Oryzias latipes: one gene and its partner. Each later gene encodes a partner of the first gene's protein in a complex. Links are inferred from orthologs where the notes say so. Each region holds a gene or a part of one and is shown on either strand. Other genes may lie near its edges.

Evidence for each region. Proteins that work in one complex are often made in the same cells at the same time.
Region 2: nup43 (region 1) and nup37 share a complex: the UniProt entries of both Homo sapiens proteins name them as parts of the nup107-160 subcomplex of the nuclear pore complex. The link is inferred for Oryzias latipes from reciprocal best matches to the Homo sapiens genes NUP43 and NUP37.

Annotation. Positions count from the first base shown.
Region 1 is NC_019882.2:17,708,980-17,715,610, reverse strand, and holds nup43 (nucleoporin Nup43), read right to left. Parts: upstream 4,141-6,631; 5' UTR 4,023-4,140; coding exon 3,903-4,022; intron 3,722-3,902; coding exon 3,599-3,721; intron 2,683-3,598; coding exon 2,605-2,682; intron 2,522-2,604; coding exon 2,359-2,521; intron 2,289-2,358; coding exon 2,153-2,288; intron 2,058-2,152; coding exon 1,906-2,057; intron 1,828-1,905; coding exon 1,711-1,827; intron 507-1,710; coding exon 277-506; 3' UTR 148-276; downstream 1-147. Other genes in the region: pcmt1 (protein-L-isoaspartate(D-aspartate) O-methyltransferase), read left to right, coding at 4,362-4,539. UniProt on the Homo sapiens protein: Component of the Nup107-160 subcomplex of the nuclear pore complex (NPC). The Nup107-160 subcomplex is required for the assembly of a functional NPC.
Region 2 is NC_019881.2:20,073,561-20,080,412, reverse strand, and holds the start of nup37 (nucleoporin Nup37), read right to left. Parts: upstream 3,585-6,852; 5' UTR 3,495-3,584; intron 2,486-3,494; 5' UTR 2,478-2,485; coding exon 2,322-2,477; intron 2,238-2,321; coding exon 2,116-2,237; intron 1-2,115. Other genes in the region: parpbp (PCNA-interacting partner), read left to right, coding at 4,170-4,319, 6,413-6,643, 6,723-6,812. UniProt on the Homo sapiens protein: Component of the Nup107-160 subcomplex of the nuclear pore complex (NPC). The Nup107-160 subcomplex is required for the assembly of a functional NPC.

The DNA of each region.
Region 1 (6,631 bases):
CACATTTAATTTGAAATCAAGACCATTTTTCCCTGTGTTCTTAGCAGCTGACTTGTTTGTTTTTTTTTTTTTTTTACACAGTGTAAATACAAATCTATCAAATAATCGTAAATATTGGAAAATAAAAAAACAAGACTGACAATAAAACAACTTTTTAGACTTATTTGAGCGTTTATTTGTAATTTAATAACCTTTTAAATCAAATCTGTACAAAACACAGTCAGAACACAACATGAGGACAGTAACATCTCTTTCCTCACAAAAGACACTTATTTTTTAAACTGGGACATGTCTGTTGACAAAAATGGCCTCTCCGTCGGTGCCGCAGACGAGACACTGTCCGATGATGTCCAGGCTGTTGACGGACATGGTCTGGCTGGGCAGCATGTGCGTCGTCTCCAGGCAGCCTTTGCCAGAATCTCCGCAGAGCCAGGCGCTGCTGAGGGGGCGGTTCCCGCCAGCGGGGGTCAGCGCGCCGTGGGAGATCACGCTGCTGTTCCTGCCACCTGTCAACAGTTCAAACAATCCAACGTTCACCCCCAACTGCAAATATTCTCAGAATTACCCCAAATTCTATCAAAAATGCAGAGTTTACACTCTAGGATTGAGATTATTGTCCCTGTATTTGTTTCAGCGTCATTGGCTTTAAACTCTAAACTTCTTTAAAATTTCATAACAAATCTTGTCTCATATTAACCCTTTCAAAAGACTGACTTTGTTTTTAGCCAAAACACACAAATCTCTGTTGTACAAATCAGGACTGATAAGCTGTAATTAGACTTTAGAGAACTTCTGAGCTGTCAACAAGATCGTTTTAGTTTGAAGTGAAGGGATGTTTGATGAACACAAAGCAGAGGAATGTGCAAAGTCATGACTGTGTCCTCAGAGTCAACAACCAGAGAGAGAAATGTCTAAATAATTCTCAGAGAGCTACAACGCTGAGGAGGAAGGAGGAAATAAAAATTAGCTAAATCTCTACTTGGAAAGTCAAAGACACCAGGGAGCGAAATCAGAAATTGTTGTCAAAATATTCGGAGCTCTGCACAGAAATGAATGGAGAGGACGCATTAAAAAAAAAAAAAAGGAGTCAGACTGAAGAGTCTATATGTTCAAGCTTAAAGTGAATGAAAAACATTTCCAGAAAAAAATTACATTCAAAAGTACACAATGTAACCTCGAGTCATCCCTCCTTTGAAGTGGAAATGACATTGTCATGACCTCTATCACACAACATCAATCATGTCATGGTAACCAATGGGCTCAAAGCCCCGCCCCCATATAACACTAGCCTGAATAAGTACAGGAAGGGTATCTGGTTTAAAACTCTGCCAAACCACCTTTGCGAAACAGTGACAGCTGTATTTCAGAGTTTCAATTTTAAAATCTGGTTTTCCAGTCAATTTGAGATGATCCTGATTTGACCCTGTGTGTTTTAAGTGACATAAAGAAAGAAGAATGCATAAAGATAAAAGCTTCAAATCTGATCCATGGCTTTCTCTTTTTAAAGTTCCAATTCCAATCATCTTTGGATCCATTGTAAAAGCCTTCCCTGTGGTCTTTTTATTATGATTATGCTGCTAAGAACTCTGAGCAGCGAGCTGGGTTTTTTTTTTCAAACTGCCTCCATCATCAGAAAAAAGAAAAGAACATGTTGGAAACACCAAAAAACAAAATTTTCATCGGAGTGCCTCTTCACTGATGACGACTTGCCTTGTAAGAATGAGGGCATCTCGGAATGCGAGGCAGTTTCCCAGTGCAGCAGCGAGCCGTCCTCCGAACACGTGAACAGGTGATCCGGGTTTGTGGGGTGGAAGCGAACCTCCCACACTGACGAGGAAATCCAAAGGAAAGTTAGTGAAACAGAACCAGAGATATGTTTAAAGTGAAATAAAGAAAGGATCTGACTTTCAGCCGAGTGTGCCTCCATGAGTGAGATGGGCGTGCCCCCCTGTCTCACGTCCCACACACAGAGCATGCCGTCCTGGCCCCCGGTGGCTACGATGTGCTGCTGGTTGGGATGTCTGTCAACGCAGTGCAGAGGAGCTCTGTCTCCTGACCTGGTGGAAAAAAAGACAAACAAGTAAAGGTGTGTTTCTGAAAGGATAAAGATACATAAAAAAATAATAAATACATCAAATTTCAGAGCTCTTACAGGGACAGAATCTGCGATGGGGAGCTGCTTTGCTGCCTGAGGTCCCACAGCTTCAGCTGGCCAATGGAGTTCACCGTCAAAACCTCCGTGGTCTTCAGGTAAGTCACCGCGTGAATTGTGCTGCTGTCTGCATTCTCTAACAAACACAACGGACAGTTTTAGACTCGACTCCTGATGAGGCGGTAACATCCGAGTCCTCATCTCACCGATGACCCGGACCGCTCCTTCCTGGTCGGCTCTGAAGACCACGATCCTGCCGTCCTCCCCGACAGTGACAATCTCCGGGCTGCTGCAGACCAAGGCGGTGCAGGGCGCGTTGTCACAAGGGTAGCTATGCGCCCTCGCCCAGTGCTGCAGAACTGAAATGGTCTGTTCAGGAAACAAAAAGGAAACCCGTTTTTAAACATGACATTTTGTTTTCTCCTCAAGAAAACCGAAAAGAAACAACGTACATGAGTGTTTGGATGATAGCGGAAAATAGTGACTGCTCCCGTTGATGACGCTGAGACCATCCGTTCCTGGTCCAAGAACTAAAACATGAAACAAAGAAAAACAAGAAAAATTACTTTATCCAAACAATGTACACATTTAAAATCATTTAAAATTAAAACCTATTGTAAAAACATTCCCAGTGTTTTTTTTATTATGATTATGCAGTTTTTAGCAAAAATCAAAAACCCTGTGTTGTTCCTTAAGACATAATTTCTGCAGAGCAACAGAAGCTCATTAGAAATTTGTTTCTGGGTTGTGGATGGGACTGTTAGCGTGAAAGTGACCCTACCATGATTTCCCAGCATTCCTTTGTTTACACGCTTTCCTGCTACCTAACAGCCGCTCACAACCCCAATCTAACATTAGCGTAGCACAAGAAAAAAAAACAACCTGCCGTACAGTTTAGATTTAGATTCCAGCTCAGACAAAGGAAAACAAAGACGGATGTGGATCTATTTGTCTGCGTGCGGAACAGGGAGACTTTGGCCCGCCAATGGCAGTTGCTGCATCGCAAACCGGGTCCTTATCCATTACAATTTAAATAAAAAAGTCCTCGTAAATGCAGTGCTAAGCTTAAATCCTTTTGTCCTCCATGATGAGAAAAATGCTACAAAAACATGTTAAAAACACACATATCTGAGTGAACCATCCAACATAATAAAGTGGGAAAATCCAGAAGAATTGAACAAAAATGTAATCAAATAGTTACACAAATTGATCAAACATTTGGGTGTGAGCTTCTGAAGGATCTTTATGACTTTATAACTGCTGACACTTATTTGACATGCTGAATAATTTTAATGACAGAAAAGGGAACATTTAAAATTTCGTTTTGGTTTTGTGCTCATTTCTATTTTTCATTTAGTTTGTTTATAGGCCTAAATAAAGAAATGGCTCCACAGATCAAACATCAACACCGATGATTCCGTCATTAGAAGCTTTTGGGTTTCTTACTTGCAGGTCCAGAACATCTCCGCCATGTTTGTGCTCACATAAAATTTGTGGGTCTCCTTCAAATCCGTCTTCTAATCCAGAATTGTTGTGATTTCCAATGGACCAGATAGACACCTTGTTGTCCTATAAATCAACGGGTTTCACATTAAACTCAGTGAACATTTAAATCACGACGACAAATGAATCAAAACAATTTTTTAAAGTGTATTTAAATAATTTAAATTAATAAAAAAAATTGAGTTAATTAGCAAGCGATCTTAATAATTTGTGTGGTTTTGCGCTAGTAGTAGTACTACTAGCTAACCTCGTTGTCCCACGAGCCCGTAGCAAAGACTTCTGGTTGTTGCAGTGAAGAATAGGAAACCGGACACCATCTCGTCTTACTGATTTTCTGAGACACATATTTGGCATTTATGCTCTCCATGGAAATTGAAGCCTTTTTGTTAAAATTTGAAGTGTTGTTTTCAGTTTACGGACTACACGAGAAACTACGCGCCTGCTGCTTCATACGTAACTACGGTGGCCCGAGAAGACCAGATCACAGTGTGCTATTCTTCTTTAAATTAATAGATAATCTGTTTCCCCCTAGCGGCCGACTTCTTTATTACCCAACAATTCCAATAAAGCAGAGACAGAGGAATTCCCTCTTTAAACTGACACTGGGCTCAGTACGTATCTAATTGGGTTTGTATTTTATTAAACTGTACGTGTTTTGTTAAAAGGGAGTGTATGTGAAAGGCGGCCCGGTAATAAAATCATTTGGATGTCTGGTGACGTATCCGCTCCGCCGTCTCCGCTCGAGGTTGCGAGCTTCATCGGGAAAACTGTTGGCGCAGGCGCGGCACTGACAGCTGCTGTCTACTTACTCCGCAAAGTCTGCTTAATAATGGCCTGGAAATCTGGAGGAGCCAGTCACGCAGAACTTGTCACCAACCTTCGCAGTGAGTCTTGTAGCGTTTTTAAGGTGGCATCGGCAAGCAATTCACCCGCGCGACGCTGGAAAACTGTTTTCGGGCGCGTGCTTGTTAGCGCAGGTGCGGTAGCTAGCTGGTTGCTTAAACTGTTAACCACTGTTGCCCCTAGTTTCTCCACCCCCTTTTTTTTTTTTTGCCAAACCACGTTACGCCGTGGGACACGCGCGCGCTTCTGTCATTTTAGATCAAAATAAAAGCACTAAACACCCAAATTACATAATATTTGCATTAAATATTTAGGGTGTATTGTGATGTTAGCCCGGCCAGCTAGCTATGTATGTGCGTCATGTAGGAGCATGTAGCTAGCGTTAGCAGCGGCGCTAGCTGTGTGCCCTGCCCACATCCATTGATGTCTGTCTGCACTGGCCACTGCGCTGTCATTTCACTGACGAGAACAGTTTAAACCGTAAAGCTCGACTCTGGAAACCACCCTTCTGTTGCACGAGACAGAAATTCACATTTGCTGTGTCACGATAGCAGCTAGCAACATCGAAAGAGCGACTTAGTGCCAAGTCCAACTCGGAATAAATGGTAATGTCATTTTGACACTTAGCCTTTTTGTTCATAATAAGCCTTTAAGCCAGTACATCAACTTATTTAATGCTAATATGTGAATTTAATACGATATTTGCAGACTTGAGTGTGCGTCAACATTCACTGTCAAGTATTTGCCAGCTCTATTTATACTCTCTGTGCTGTCAGGGGTATCATTGCTCGCTTTTTTGCCCATAGCTGCGTGTTTAGGAGGGCATCAGTCTCTATATCTGCTTATCTCAGTCCAGACATGTTTGCTTCCGACTAGCACACTTCATTTGGATTGAAGCAGACCACATGCAGAAGGCATGCTGATCAGTCTGCCACCTCTGGCTGAACCTTTCAACCCTGCAGGCTTTTGTTAAGGACCTTTTGTGGTTATATTGGCTTTATGCAAATAGGTACAGTTAAAAAAGTGATCATGTGGACTGTATATAATAATGCTCAAGAGTTTTATCATCTTATTTTGCTAATATTTTACATGTGCATTCTTAATATTTAAGTCTTCATTGTTCATTTTTTCTGCTTGGTGACAATAAAGCTTTTGATTGTATTCCAAACATAAGAAATCGAGCTCATGTATCTTCCTTAAAGGGTCATGAAAAATCAACTTTTTTTTAGCTTTTAAGTGTATTATAATGTTCATTCTTCACTGTAAACAACCTCAAAGCAGTATTTTGATCTGTTCTTACATTTCTGAGTATTCCTCTAAAAACGTCTTAGGTTTTCAGAGGAATACTCTGTGTGTGTGTGTGTGGGGGGGTGTGTGTGTGTGTGTGTGTGTGTGTTTGTGTTTGTGTTTGTGTGTTTATTCAGGAATACACACACACACTTTCTGCGTGGTGCCAGTGGTGATTGGTCAAAACACGTTCCTTTACTCTGCACAGTATGCACATCCATCCCTGTAAAGGTTTGGATGTTGTTTGTTTTCCTGGGAGACTCAGACACGCTGCCAAGGCCGGCTCTATGTTGAGGTCATGCAATGGGCGACACCCACACAGAGAGAAAGGCGGAGCCTCAGAGACCAAGTCGTCTTATTTCCGGGTTGGAAAATGAAGTGTGAAAATAACTCGTATTTCATAAAAAGATCATTCTTTAGTGTGCCAAAGGTAATATATTATCATATACATGGATATAGTTCATTGTGAAAGTATTGGAAAAGCATGAAATAGGCCCTTTAATCCACAAACTACAGTGTAAATGCAACCTGTTTAGATAAGTGTGACTGTTCTTTTGAGTGTTAACATTACAACATCTAAATTTTATGTCCATAATTCTGTCCCGCTGCAGTCCATGGTCTGCAAAGCCAATATTGTTTTTGCTATGCCGCTTTCTTACTGTGCCCTGTGTTAACATTTCACACCAAGCCTCTTTCAGCTGTGAGTACATGCACTAATATCGGGTAGCGACAGTCCAGTGTGAACACATGTGGCAATAGGGCGTTCAAGAAGGCCCGTTTAGCGCGTTCTTCAGGTCACATCACATGCCTGGTGTGTAGGTAGCATAAGGAATAAGGTTTATTTGG
Region 2 (6,852 bases), on another chromosome or scaffold:
TGTTTGAAAGATAGTTCTTTGAGGAAGAAGGTTTTGTTGATGTTTAGGAGATCCAAATACTGCCTGAAAAATTGAACCAGCACAGAAACAATCTTGATGGTTAAAAAATTATGTTTTTATAATTTTTATTCTGAGGCCAAAATTAAAATAAACCTTTTATTTCACTTTGGCAGAACTCCCCATCCCTGTGTATAAGAGGTTACATTCAAACGGCTTGTAAACTTGCCATGTTAACAAGATGTACAATTACTGTGAGACGGTGGTCGCCCCATCATCATTAGAGGATTGTTCAGGATTAACGTCCAGCAGAGCAGAATGTAAACAACAACACCCAAAACCAAAAACCCCCCATTTCCCGTGAAAGCCAGAATCTGCTCGGAACAACAGATCCTGTCAACACAAGCCTTTGGCTAAACGTATCTGCCTCAAATCATTCTGATTAGGGACTAAAAAACTTTCTACATCGATGCAAAACCATTTGATTGAATCTAATGAGCATTTAAATGTCCCAGAGATTGAAGCTGATTCTGTTAATAACCAGAAGGACTCAGATAAAACTCACCTTCAGTGCTAAATTTATGGATTACAAATCTCCCCACAGGCTCTAAGTAGAATGAAACTGATTGGTTTTCGGTTTAAAATGATATCAGAGACAAGAGTAACTCTCTTGTTTGCCTCTTGTGGTTTCTTCCAGAACTGACCCGATTACTATTACTTCAGTATTGAAGTCATACAGACTAAGGTTTGGTTTTTGTTTCACTGGAGTGTGATGTCATCAACAGAAAATGACTTACTTCCAGCTCAAATCAAATCAAATCAAGTCAACTCAGTTGGTATTTTTTCCACAATCCAGACGCCGCCATGTTGGAGCCAGATGTCATGGGTAAGCAGTGATTGGTTAGAGTTGGTCTGAGTCAACATTTCCATGGTAATCCCTCTCACCAATCAGTTGTTAGAAGGCCACACCCCTAGCACTTAGAAGTAGGCTACACAAAATCTGTCAAAGGTTTCAAGAGTTGCATGTGGCACCACCCACTTTTTTTTAGACTTCTTATTGGTCAGTTTAAAAAAGGCATCAGTGCAAGAATGGTTATTCTGGAAAATAGAATGACTGATTAATAGTCTATGGGATTTTGGCTTCTTGGAGCCAGCAGGTACTTCCTGTTTGGAACCCAAACGGGGAGGGTTCACTCAGTCCAGATCTCATATATACAGTCAGTCTTTCTATAAGAATCGTTGAGGGCCAACGTGTTCAGATAAAGAGGACAATCCTTAGTTTGGATGGTTCAGAATTTTTCTAAATATTTCAGTTTGCTCCTAAAAAAAATTTTTTTTCTTCTGATGAATCTACAGCAAGGAGGGTGGACAAAACACACAAAAACAAAATAAATGATGATAAAATGGCTAGCTTAAACAGGTTTTGCTAACTTGGATACTTTATGGCAACTTTTTAAACACCACAAACACTTAAACACAAATATTCCCAGTCTTTTAACGACTAGAAGCCTGTATTATTCGGATTTCTCTTGGTGGTGGAGCAGCATGTGCTGCCCTCCATCATCTCCACTCACTGCATTAACACAGGACAGCATCTACAGAGTAGTACCTACCAGCTGTTGTCACAAACCTTTACTGCCCCATGTCCCGAATAAAATCATTGTCTTAGGCTCCGGGCTTGCAATAATGATGCATTTCGTAGCATCCATTAAGATTATTCTTAAGCAATTTTGAAAAGGTTTATGGAAATATAGTATGAAAACCAATATAAATGAGTGACAAATTAGCAAATTCAAATACGTTCCATCACCTAAAGCTATTTTCTTTGACATTCTTTGACTTTAACAAACAATAAAAAAGAAAGAAAGAAAGAAAGATACGCAACAAAAGAAAGAGTTTTAAGTTCCCAGCAAGGTCGTCTAACCGTCAGCCGCATAAAGATTTTATTCTACAAAATCAAAGACAACATAAAGGCTTTTGCTTTAACTTCCAAGTTTCAACCTCAACTGTAGATTTTGAAAACAAACCTATTGATCTCCTTTGACTGTTCTCCTGCACATTTATTCTGTAGTATGGATACATTAAATGATCCCCCTTTATCTTATCAAACGGTGATACCTGAGAGTGGGTATTCTATCCAGCCGGGATTCGGGGCTCCAAGCCAGAGCATCCACACGCAAATCATGATGAAAAGCTCGCAGGACGTTAAACTCGACTCCTTCCACCTCCATGTCCTCCTCCTGCAGGGCCACATTTGGTGTCATTAAGGTGACAACAAAAAAAAAAAACCTCCAAACTGTGCTGTGTCAATCTGTGTCAGAAACCTGGAAAAGGCAGGTGGCCACCACCACAAACTGGTTCCCACCATAGGCCAGGAGGGAGGCCGAGGTCCCTGAGCTGAAAGGACTGAATTCTACCACATGGACATAATCGTCACACGGCACCGTATAGGAGGGACTGCGAACAGATTCCTCCTGCATGTTTATCCCTGTCACACAACAGAAAGAAAGGAAACAGATTCCTATTTTTGTTCATTTTTACAAAACAAAAAGAGATACAAGCATGAAAAAAGTAACAACTTTAACATTTTTTCTTTATACATCTCCGGAGCTCCTCTTGCTCAGTTTACTGATCTTTACTCTTTCCACATGTTAACATAAGAGATGGTTTATATGAAAACTCCCAGCACTCTTATTTATTTATTTTACTTCATATCTTTTTTTGGTACTCTAATTTACCAAAATCAGAAGTAAAAAAGATGTTTCCAATAAAAAAAAAGTAACAATAAGCTTTGGATCAAAAAAGTTTTTTTTATATACAGATGGGTAAATTGACCAGATTAGTGCAGAATATATCCCTCAATATATTGATTGGTTAATAAAAGTAATGCAGTTCTATTGCCTCTAACAACTTTTTTTTGTTGCACCAAACTACTTTAACTAAAAACAGTACATATATACTATACTTTAATAGGTTGTATTAGTGTTTTTATTTTATAATACAGAGGTTTAAGATGAATCTAAACAAGAATCAGAATCTATACCAGACTGGAGGACTAACACGTCAAGTTAAAATATTGGCTTGTTGCTCTTTAGCAAATATGCAGTAAGTTTGCCTCTTTTAGGGCATTTTTAACAAGCTACACTCACAATTCTGGTATTGTTTAGCCTAAGCTAAAAATGAATGTGATGAGCAGGCAAGATTAATAGAATACAAATAGTGTATCGTCAAAACCAGAAACTTTAACAGGATTAAAATAGTACATTTTAAATGTTCAAAGAGAACAATATTTTCTTTTCCCGTGATGATAAATTTACGAGTTTAAAAAAAAGAGAAAACGATTTATTTATTCGCAGGAGCAGAAAGAGAAAGCGACCACGATGCTAGAAGCTAATACGAAAAAGAATGGCGCTGTTTTGTTTTAAACCGACTAGGCACAGACTAGTTTTCATAAATAATAATTTTCTGCTTATTTCTTCTAAGAATACATATATTACCGGCGCGTGCGTTTCCTAGTTGCCCGCGCTTGAAGTGTTTACCATTTATTTCCGCATACGACACGGAACGTACCAGTAGTTGGAAAAAACCAAGGGGAGACTGAAAGACGAAAAGATAAACGAATCAAATTATAGACAACATTAGAAAACTTGGAACAAAAATATAAATCGACAAATATGTTCCTAAACATAAATATAATCAATCTGGTTTGAACATTTGATTCTGATTTATTTTTTATTGTTGGAAGCGTCCGATGCAGTTTGCTGAAATCTGATTGGCTAGAAGGTGTTAAACGTCATCGTCATTTAAAATTTCAAAACAGCTGCTCTACGGTGTGCGCCTAGTTCGGCAGAAACATTGAAACACCACAACAGGTTTGAATATTTATTTAAATAGGTAATATTTTATTTTATTTTTATTATTGTGACTTTTTATACCTGAACCTTATACGCATATATATTTATACAGATACATATTTATAGAGGATTTAAATAAGCTGAGAATACAAAACCTTTGGGGGGGGGGGGTACTTTGAACAAGGTTACTGTTCTTCAGTGCAAAAATCATTTGAGTTGACCATTTTCTTGTGCATTTTTTGCTCTAAATAATAACGTGTTTGATGCAAAGATAGATGTATTTATTGTGTCTTCTGTAACCTCTTACTTAAGGATAAAATGGAAGCTTTAGGAGAAAGACTTAACCTGATGGTGAAAACCTTCAGGAGGGAACGCCACAGAGTTTCACAGTCTGAAAGGACCACGGTTCATGGAGCTGACAGCATGCTGATGGTTCTTCAGCTGGCCATGGCCGACGTTAACAAAAAGGTAGTAGTCTGTGCTCTTTCCTGTTAAATGTATAAATGCTGTTCCACTTTATTAATCTCACAGAGGAGAAATTTACCTGTCATGGCCTCTCTGGAGAAAAACAAATCACCAAGCAAGTAAATAAATAGATACATAAATAAACCGTTTTTATGACCTAGTTACACAGAGGAGTTGGTCAGTTTGATGAAATAAATGACCTGCGGTAACATTCATGCCTACACTAGGGGTGTCTGAATATTTTGCTGAAGGAACCTCCCAGTCCCTTCACAGTCAGCTGCAGTGGGTGAGAGCTGTTGTCCTGGATGGATGTGAGGTTGATTGACATCCTCCTCTCACCCACCGAGTCCGACCTGGTCCTCCTGACCAGCCTATTCAGTACCGGTGCTGCTCGTTTCCCAGCAGAAAAACGGCATAGAGGGGAGCAGAGGCAAGCACAGAGTCAGAAAAAGTCCTGAGCAGAGTTCAAACCACCTCCGTCTCCTCAGAAGTTGGTGGTAACTTTGTCCCTTCTTACAAAGGTCATCAGTATATTGCTAGGGTGAACACCTAGGCCAGGGGTGTCAAACTCATTTTCACCGAGGGCCACATCGGCATAGTGGTTGTCTTCAATGGGCCAGATATAAATGATAAATGTAACTAAATGTAATGAAAAACAAATGTACCTACTCCTCAATGTTAAATAACTCATTTATTTGTTTATTATAACTTTTTAAAGTGACAATTACAGTTGCATAGAAAACATATTTGCTTGCTACTTTAGCATAAATCCTTTTAAATTTGATTCTGACAGGTTAGGTTATATGGAGAGTCCTAATGTATAGTTGCCCAATCCCATATTTCAAGTCCAATTCTCCCTAGATATGAATAAATACACACCAATTTTTAATTTTTTATTTTAAGAAATTGGCCACGTTTGGCCCGCGGGCCTTGAGTTTGACACATGTGACCTAGGCACTTGAAACCGTCAACCATGACAATGTCGGTTCACTGGTGTGTGTGGCTGCCGTTCTTTGTCATTAAAGTACATTTATAGAATAGAACTGTAAAGAACCACTCAAATAACAATGGTGTTTGTGGTGTTTTTAACATGTTCTTGTGGTATTTTTCTCAGGATGGAGAACATATATAAACAACATTAAGCTGAAACATTGAATTTCTGAGTATTTCTTTATTCAAATTCAAAACCAGATGCTGTTTGAAAATGATCGTATATTTGTGACGTAGAAAATAGCTCCGTTCTGATGCATCCTCTTACGGACGACTAGATCCATGGACGTCTTTGTTTTCCTCGTCTGAGCTGGTATCTGGCTCAAACCTGTATGGGTGGATAGCTCCAACATTGCTGGCCATCTTTGTTGCACCGCTAATGTTAGTTTGGGAGTGTGTGAAGCGTTAACAGGAGGGAAGCCATAACCGTATGTTACGTATGCTACACCATTGAACCAAACCTTAGGGAAATTGAATCCTTGCATTCCTGCTGCATACCAGCCTGTTTTCATTGAAAGTGTCAAACAATTGTTCTAAATCCACAGAGAATTTATTATTTTATCACATGACACCAGAATTGTATTTTTACTTGCTTAATGGCAAATCAAAACAAATCTTTTTTCAGATTTTGTTGATGTGGTCCCACCCACAACTGATGGGGGTGAATTGCTAATGAACTCTGCAGAAACTCTGTCCTATAAAACGTCACAGATTTTTAAAATTTTGATTAAAAATGCATAATCATAATTAAAAGTCTACTGGAAATGGTTTGAAAATAGATCAGAAGATGATTGGACTAGGTCTTAAAGGATAAAAAAAAACAATAAATAGAGCTCAAATAATTTAAATGTGGTTAAAGCACATTAAACTCTAAATTAACATATAAAACTGTTGATGATTTGTTGTTGAGGTGAACTCCTATGTTTTTACGAGGAGGGATGAATCCTATCCAAGCCCTGAGACAGACCATCATCAGAAGTGGTGACACTACCACTGCTTTCCGATTGAGACCGCTCATGGCTCATTTTTGGCAGAAAAAGGTCCGTCTGTGATGGAAAGGATCGGCTCCGGCGTTACAGCTGCTGCTTTCTCTTTTCCTGCGACAGCGCGGCGGAGAGTTCCAAGTGTCTCTGAGTGATGTCCTGATGGCCTGGAAGCACTTATTGGTCGAGAAGCTTCAACTGCCGCCCCCCAGCTCTGCACGCTTGGAGAACCACGATGTCATCCTGGAGGCGTACAACTCCTTCCTGAAGAGCTCAAACACTGTGGACCTGGTCGATGTCCTCGCTACGTGCCAACAGCTGAAAGTTCTGGACCCAGAGGAGCTGGTGAGCCCGGTGAGCTGAAATCAGGTTCTGGAAGACAAGTCGCTGTGAAGAGATCAATAATTTTTACATCCTCTGTTCTCGTGCCAAGATCCAGCTGTGTGGGTTCCTCTCAGGAAACCCGGAGCTCCCAGAGTTCCCATCAACACCATCCAGTAAAAGCAGGCCCTGCAGCTCCCAGGTAGCCTCTCTGCATTAATGAAACTCATTTTTTTCCTTAT